Canis lupus familiaris: one gene and its partner. The protein of the gene in region 2 binds, or shares a complex with, the protein of the main gene of each other region. Links are inferred from orthologs where the notes say so. Each region holds a gene or a part of one and is shown on either strand. Other genes may lie near its edges.

The links.
Region 1: the proteins of GNAI3 (region 2) and GRM4 are in contact, whole or in part, in a cryo-EM structure (PDB 8JD6), measured with the Homo sapiens proteins. The link is inferred for Canis lupus familiaris from reciprocal best matches to the Homo sapiens genes GNAI3 and GRM4. Residues at the interface, in NP_006487.1 of Homo sapiens: Ala31, Lys32, Val34, Lys192, Asp193, Leu194, Thr219, Phe336, Thr340, Ile343, Ile344, Asn347, Leu348, Cys351, Gly352, Leu353, Tyr354; in NP_000832.1 of Homo sapiens: Pro616, Lys619, Ala620, Gly622, Arg623, Glu624, Arg676, Ile677, Ile680, Phe681, Gln683, Gly684, Lys685, Arg686, Ser687, Val688, Ser689, Ala690, Ile694, Ser695, Pro696, Phe781.

The regions. Positions count from the first base shown.
Region 1 is NC_049233.1:3,528,730-3,532,249, forward strand, and holds part of GRM4 (metabotropic glutamate receptor 4), read right to left. Parts: intron 2,979-3,520; coding exon of another isoform or gene 2,940-2,978; exon of another isoform or gene 2,582-2,939; coding exon 2,335-2,581; intron 1-2,334.
Region 2 is NC_049227.1:42,747,699-42,751,218, forward strand, and holds part of GNAI3 (guanine nucleotide-binding protein G(i) subunit alpha), read right to left. Parts: intron 2,767-3,520; coding exon 2,724-2,766; intron 2,611-2,723; coding exon 2,469-2,610; intron 1-2,468. UniProt on the Homo sapiens protein: Heterotrimeric guanine nucleotide-binding proteins (G proteins) function as transducers downstream of G protein-coupled receptors (GPCRs) in numerous signaling cascades.

The sequences.
Region 1 (3,520 bases), on a different chromosome or scaffold from region 2:
ATAGCCCCCAGAGGGCTAATGCTCCACTCTGATGGGCCCTGGAGCAGAGCTCATTTGACAGACCCACTCCCGCACCAGCAGAATAAGGCATGACAGATGAATCCAGGAAGGATAAAGCTCCGTGGGAAAGAGGAAAACGGCAGTCAGGAGTGTGGGGTGGGGAGCAGTGAGGGATCCCTGCTTAGAACAGAAGGGTCTGCTTAGGGGCTGCATTTGGGGTCTCTGCAGATCTAGACACAAAAGGCCAGAAGAGGGGAGTCCTGGGAGGACCATGCCCCTTCCCATCTCAGAGTGGAAGGCCCAGGGGGCACCTGAAGGGAGTCCCAGGGCTGTAGGTTCCCAAGAAGCTGGTGGTCCGGGAGGAGGAGCAGGATTGAAGAGAACCAGAGGTCCTCTGGTAGAAGATGGGGCAGGGAAAAACACCTTGTCATCAGGATGTCAAAGAAGGGGGCATGTCAAAGCCATGTATCCTACTCCACACAGAGCATGGGACTCCAGAGATAGGGACGCCATGTGAAGTCGGGGTCAAAGGAGAGACAGTGTGGGGCCAGCCAGCCAGCCACCGCCTTGCTGTGTGACCTCAGGAGAGTCACTCATCCTCTCTGGGCCTCTGCCAGGGATCAAACCTCTAGCCCTATCCTGACCTCACAGGACAGCTGTGAAGATCACTCAACAAGGAGAGGCTTTGGGAGTGAAAAATTGTGTGTGGATGTAGGAAGTGACTTTCCTTCTTTCCACAGATGGCAGTCTCTCAACACGTGGGGGCCGTGCTAAGAAAGGAAGAGAAGATGCTTCCCTGGAGCCACAAGGCGGGGAGCCCATGAGAGGTGCTGCCTCAGCCAACACACACCAGGGAGGCCAGGTCTCCTGTTCTCCTGACCTCCTGGCAGGTGACCGTGGGCCTCCTCTCTGGAGCCTGTGTTCCAGACCCTCCTGTAGTCTAGCCCATGTCCTCCTGCTGCCATCAACAATGTCCATTTCTGGCCTTCTCCCCAGGACAAGACGGAAGAGCTGAGTGCTAACTCCCAGGTCCCGCTGATGGAAAGTCTGGGGCGAGGGGGTCTTCTCCTCCCTCCCCACCAATAAGAGCCCCCCAGGACTTTCAGAGAGCCGAGGAGGCAGGAGAAGCTGCCACTCAAACTATTTGGACACTTGGAGGATGTCCAGGGAGGGAGCCATGGTCTCAGTGGGGCGGGGATGACCACAGCCACCCCCACCAGAGCAGCTGGAAGTGAGGCCCATGGAGGTCCACCCCACAGGCAGGAGATCCCATGGCTCACCCCAGGGCAGAGGACTCCAACTCTTTGGAGGCGGTAGGGATACCACTGTGGCAGTCAAGTCCAGCCCCGCCACCTGCTGGCTGTACAACCCAGGTGAGTCCCTAACTTTGCTGAGCCTCCCTTTCCTCATCTGTGTTACACAGAGGATAAAAAATAACCTGCCTTCCAAGGTCGCTGTGAAGATGAACACTGGTACATGGTAGTGTGGGACACAGGGTTCAAGAGACAGTCGCCATTATTACTGGTGCCCCCGAGGTCTGATCTGTCCTTCACATGCCCTGCCCCTCTCTTTCTATCTCTTCTCCTCACACAGGGGAGGCTTCAGGGGGACCAGAGACGCTGGCAAAGATGGTAGTCTTGGTCCCTCCCATGCACATCCCTGCCCAGGCCTGGACCTTAGGCCTGCCCCTCAGATGCCGAGGACCCCCTCAAAGCATGACTCTCTACTACAGAGGTGTCCTTGGACAATCCCTTCAAACACCCTGCCACCTGAGAACTGAGGTGCCTGAAAGCCCTCCATCCAATCTACTCTTTCCCAGACCCATCCTGGGGACTGGCCTCCTGAGTCCCCATATCTCAGGGCCCTGATCAGGGATGGCCAGGCTGGCACCGGGCCTCCATGCCCAGGAAGCAGAGACCCTCCAGACAACCCCTTTTCCCAGAGGGACTGAAAAGGCACAGGCCCAGATGTGGGTACCAGGGCAGAGAAATCCCAGAGTCCCCTTTTACCCTTCATGAACCAGGTTCCCTTCATGGCCTTGCCCTTGGCGGACAGAGGTCCCTGGAGGGGTGCAGGGAGGGCTACGTGGGGTGGGACCCTGAGGTTCTCTCCAGGTTACCACGATGGGCGGGGCAGAGGGGCACTAACTTGGTGCCTCAAGGTTCTCCTGTAACTCCCACTCACCTGTGGCCTTAGGGCTCTCCCGAGACCCTGGAGGACTAGGCTCAGGAGGGGCATGGCCAGGTTCAGGTTGGAGGGGGAGGCTGGCCTTCTCCCAGAAGGAGGCGGGCCTGGGTGAGCCCTGAGGGGAAGGGGGCAGGGCCGGGCGCTCACCTGGCGTCTCGAGGTTCTCGCAGAGCTCAGACTTGGCCTCACCATTGGGCCGGAAGCTGCCCTTCTGTGTGAACTTGTTGGACATGGTGGCGGCGGTGACAACAGCTTTGAGGCTGCGCTTGCGCTTGGGCACATTCTGCTCCGGGTGGAAGAGGATGATGTAGACCTTGGGCATGTAGAGCATCCCCAGGGACACCGAGGCGCTCAGACTCACCGAGACCGTCAGCGTCGTGGTCTGGATGTACAGCTGGAGGCGGGCGGGGGTTGGTGTCAGAGAGGGCTCCGTCCAGGCCTCACCGCCCCCAGAGACAGGCACGGGGGGATGGACCCAGGAGCCCCGCGCTGGGTCCCACGGACTTGGGCAGAAGGGAGTCTGAAGGGAGTCGTGGTGGAGCTGGGACTTCAGACCAGAATCTCTGGATTCAAAGCCTGGCCCCACCACTTCCAGCCGTGTGATCCTGGGTGAGTCCCACCCTGTGCCTCCGTCTCCTCACCTGTCACCTGGGTGTGATGTTACAGTACTTACCTCATGACAGGACTTGGTAAATGGCGACCGTATGTACAAGGGCCGGCACATGGTAGGTGCCTGGGAATGCTGCTCGCTGCTACATGCAGATACTGGGGGTAGCGCCCCTGGAAGGGCCCTCGGGGGATCACAGGGCCAGGAGTGAGATGAGCGTCTGCTGGTGCCCTGGAGTAACTCCCAGTGGCCGTGCCACAGCCCCTCCACCAGGTCCCCATTCAGTGACTGCGCCTCCCACCGCCACCCTGTGCAGAGCCGGCCACTGGCACAGGAGCCACAGCGCCCAGCCAGATATGGCGATGGCAGCACAGTCAAAGCTCATTTCACGCTCGCGAGCCAGCACTAACGGTGACAGATGTTTAGCAAAATGAAAGTCCATTAATCTGGGTGTCGGATAATCCATTCTTCAATAGTGGGGCCTTCCAGGCAGGGCCTGACAATTCCCACTGCCCCCCCCCCGCCCCTCCCCGCCTCCTCCCTCCTTCCTAGTTCTCCAAGCCTCTGCTGTCCCTCCAGCACTCCTCCCCACCAGCCTGTGGGAGGTCAGAGGTAGCCAGGCTGTGGCCCCCAGGTCCAGGCATGGAGAGGGCAGGAAATGCTCAGCTTCCTAAATCTGCTGTTTCTAGGCCTGGGCCCCCTCCTGTGGGGCCTGGCTGAGGTGCC
Region 2 (3,520 bases):
GAAAGTTGAAAAATTACACAAATTGGCAAACATACTCAATATTGAACATGTCCTTCTATGTCTAATGCTTTAACATGTGAAGACTTTACAGTCCATTCTGAAATTTGAACTATGCTCATACAGCTATTCAAAACCTCAATAAGCATTACATTTTACTAGTGCAATTCTAATTATAAAAACTTTAAAAGAGAGAGAGCTATTGCTACATATTTCTGCTGTCCTGCCTTTGTAAGGACAATTTTGAGCAGAATCACTTTCCCCTTACCACTTACATCTCCTCCACTGACCTACTCTTGCTTCTCCACAATAAACCCTCTTTAGGCCTTTAAGGAGGCCCCTCTTTACAATGAACTTCAAACCTCCACCTTTAAGCAGATATGAAAAAGCAACCTACCCCTCACCTGGCTCTATTCTTGTCCATTCACTCTCTAAACAGCCGTAAGAAACTAGATAAAGAGAAACTTCAAAAAATTACATAGGGTTGCAGATTAGGATGGGTAGATGGTGGAAAACTAAGTGATTCAGGAGGCCTAACAGGAATGAAGGAGATGTTGACCGCATCTGGTGACATAGGAGTGTTAGGACCCAAAGAGGAATGACACTCATTTGATAAAGGGAAGGAACGAAAGGAGAACAGATGCTGTGGTCTGAATGTTTGTGTCCTTCCAAAATTCATATGTTAAATTCCAATGCCCAAAGTCATAGTATTAGGTGATGGGGCTTTGGGGAAGTACAACTACAGTCATGAGGGTGGAGGTCCCATGAATGGAATTAGTGCTCTGATAAAAGGGACTCCAGAGAGCTCCTTTCTCCTGCCATGTGAGGACATAGTGAGAAGTCTGCAACTGAAGAGGACCCTCACCAGACTTCCCATCTGACCTCAGACTTCCTGCCTCCCGAAGTGTGCGCAATAAATGACTGTTGTTGATAAGCTACTAAGTCTGTGGTGTTTTGTTACAACAGGACAAAGACAGAAAATGTCAACTGTATTGGTGACAAAGTAGTGTGAGGACCCAAACATTAATAACAACCAATTTGACAAGGGAGAGACAAGAAGGGAGAGGTTCATCAAGAGATATAAAAGAAGACAGTGAAAAATTAAAAAGGAAGGAATGAAGAGAAGACATAAAGAACTGAGATGGAGAAAAAGCCAACAAAGTGAGGGAAAGGACTAAATACAGTAGCATCGACCAGTTATAACGGATCTGGCAAACAAAACAGACACGCAGAGCTGGGTGACAGGAAGGGATAAGAAAAGGGAAGAAAATAATACTGGGGGGGGGGGGGGGGGTAGTGGCCAGAGGGAAGAAAAGAAAAGCAGGAGGCAGAGAAGGGACAGAAAGATGTAAGACAAAAATGCATTGTTCATTCTTACATTCACAATCCCATTTTCCCCTCAGATGCTTAGAAAAAGTCTCAGGATGTTATGCTATGACATCTTTTGTTACAAAAACATAAAAGTTGTGCCTCACATATTTCCTTGTCCCCTCTTCTGCTACTCTTCTTTCCAGTCATTTTACAAACTTAGCCCAGCTCCTCTTCCCTTAGGTCCACTTCTAGTATCCCTAATCGAATACCAACCAATTACAACTATCCTTTAGTGATTTTTTCCCATCAACAATTTCTCCACTTATTTACTGAATATTAATTTGCATTTATAATAGCTTGTTAATGGATAAATCAAGAGCAGCTAAGAGTTCCTAAGCTACTTCACGGACACACAGGCTTTGCCTTTCCAGGCAGCCTCCCCAAGTCACCCCCTTTTGTTGTCTATAGCACTCTGAACACAGCTGATGAGTCCTTTAGTTCTAGGAAATCATTCTTAGGATCAGCGTTCTCTCAGTGCAACTAGATATAAAAGATCTCCTGCCTTCATTTTGGCCCTCTTCCCATTGCAGCAAACATCCTAATTCACAAATGAGAACTTCATGGTGCACCACGTATTATGATTCATCAACACAACTTTTGAGTATCTGACATGTGCAAGAATTGTCCTAGGACATGCAATAATCCAATTGTATAGGTTACAGTCCAACATAGTACAGTGATATAGTATTTTTGAATACCTAAAAATTGTACCTAAAATTTTGACTTAGCATTCATGTCCTTCTCAAGTCTGATATTTGCCTTTTATCTTTACGCCACAGAAAGCAGATCTACCTCTTTTAGATTATTTTAATTTACTAGTATTTACTACTTTAATAAAACAGTGCTATAAAGAAGCAAATAAAAAAGATCTGTCACAGAAACCTACAGTATATCCACACAATTACATTTCTTCAATTCTTCTTTCTGGTGGTAATCTAGTATCTCCTAAAGCAGATTGCTAATACTTTTCAAATGGGCACACAGTACTTTGCTCCATCTTATCTTGTTGCTTAAATTCATTTCCCTAAAACACGAAGAAAATTTTCCTTAACTGAATCTACTAAAAGAAAGCAAGTGAAGAGGAAATGAGAAACACTTACTGCTCTGGCAGCTTCCCCAAAGTCAATCTTTAGCCGTCCCATGGCTCTTATGATCGCAATGATGGACTGTATAGTATTGCTGTAGACAACTACTTTATATTGTTTACATTCTTCCTCTGAATAGCCATCCTCATGAATGATTCTTTAAAAAGAAAACCACAAATCATTACCACAGACCTAAAAAGAAAAAGATACTATGGGCTTTTGTGCATTATGAGGAACTGTAGTTTTACAAAAGGCCATGTTCCAACTTACTTCATCTGTTTCACAATGGTGCTTTTACCAGATTCTCCAGCACCTGAAAGAAAAGAAAATCAGACTTTGAATTCACCTGTAATCAAACACAAAGTATGAAATCAATGTGAGTGCTAATTCTAGATTAATGGAAACCAAGGTCCCAGGGAAAACTTAAGTGAGGCTATCTAGCAAGAAAAATTACTAAGCTTTGTTATCAGAGTTTTTCACTTTAGCGTAATTCAGCGACCAAATATAATTCCCTAAAAGTAGCCCAGACGCTACTTGATATCATTTGTGTCAAGCAGGCATACTTAAGGAGATATGGCAACATAAACACCTCTAGGAACTCATCCTCTACATGGAATACCATGATACAGAAACTGAACATAGGCAAAAATGAAATTATTTGTTCCTGGCCTATTTGCTTTTATTAATTCCTCTGTCAGTATCTTGTGGATCTGAGGAAATATTCCAAGAGTGATCCATCCTCTCAACCATGTGACTAGAATTCAAAATAGAAGCAGAGGAGGCGTCGTCCCCACTTTTTAACTATATATGCTCTCAGGACCACATTTCCCTTGTCTGTCAACTGGAATCACTTTAGTGGTCACCCATGTCAGATCAGCCCTCTAAGAATTCCTTAACATTTCACTGGCATTTCCTTAGTCAATTCCTTCTCCCACATTACAAGATGCCTATTTCACACCATTTCCTTTCTCTCTCAAACCTTACAAACTCCTTCGCACTTCTGACTTTCACCAGATCATCTTGCTTCTTTTATTGGAAAAATTAAAGCACTCAAAAAATGATCTCAT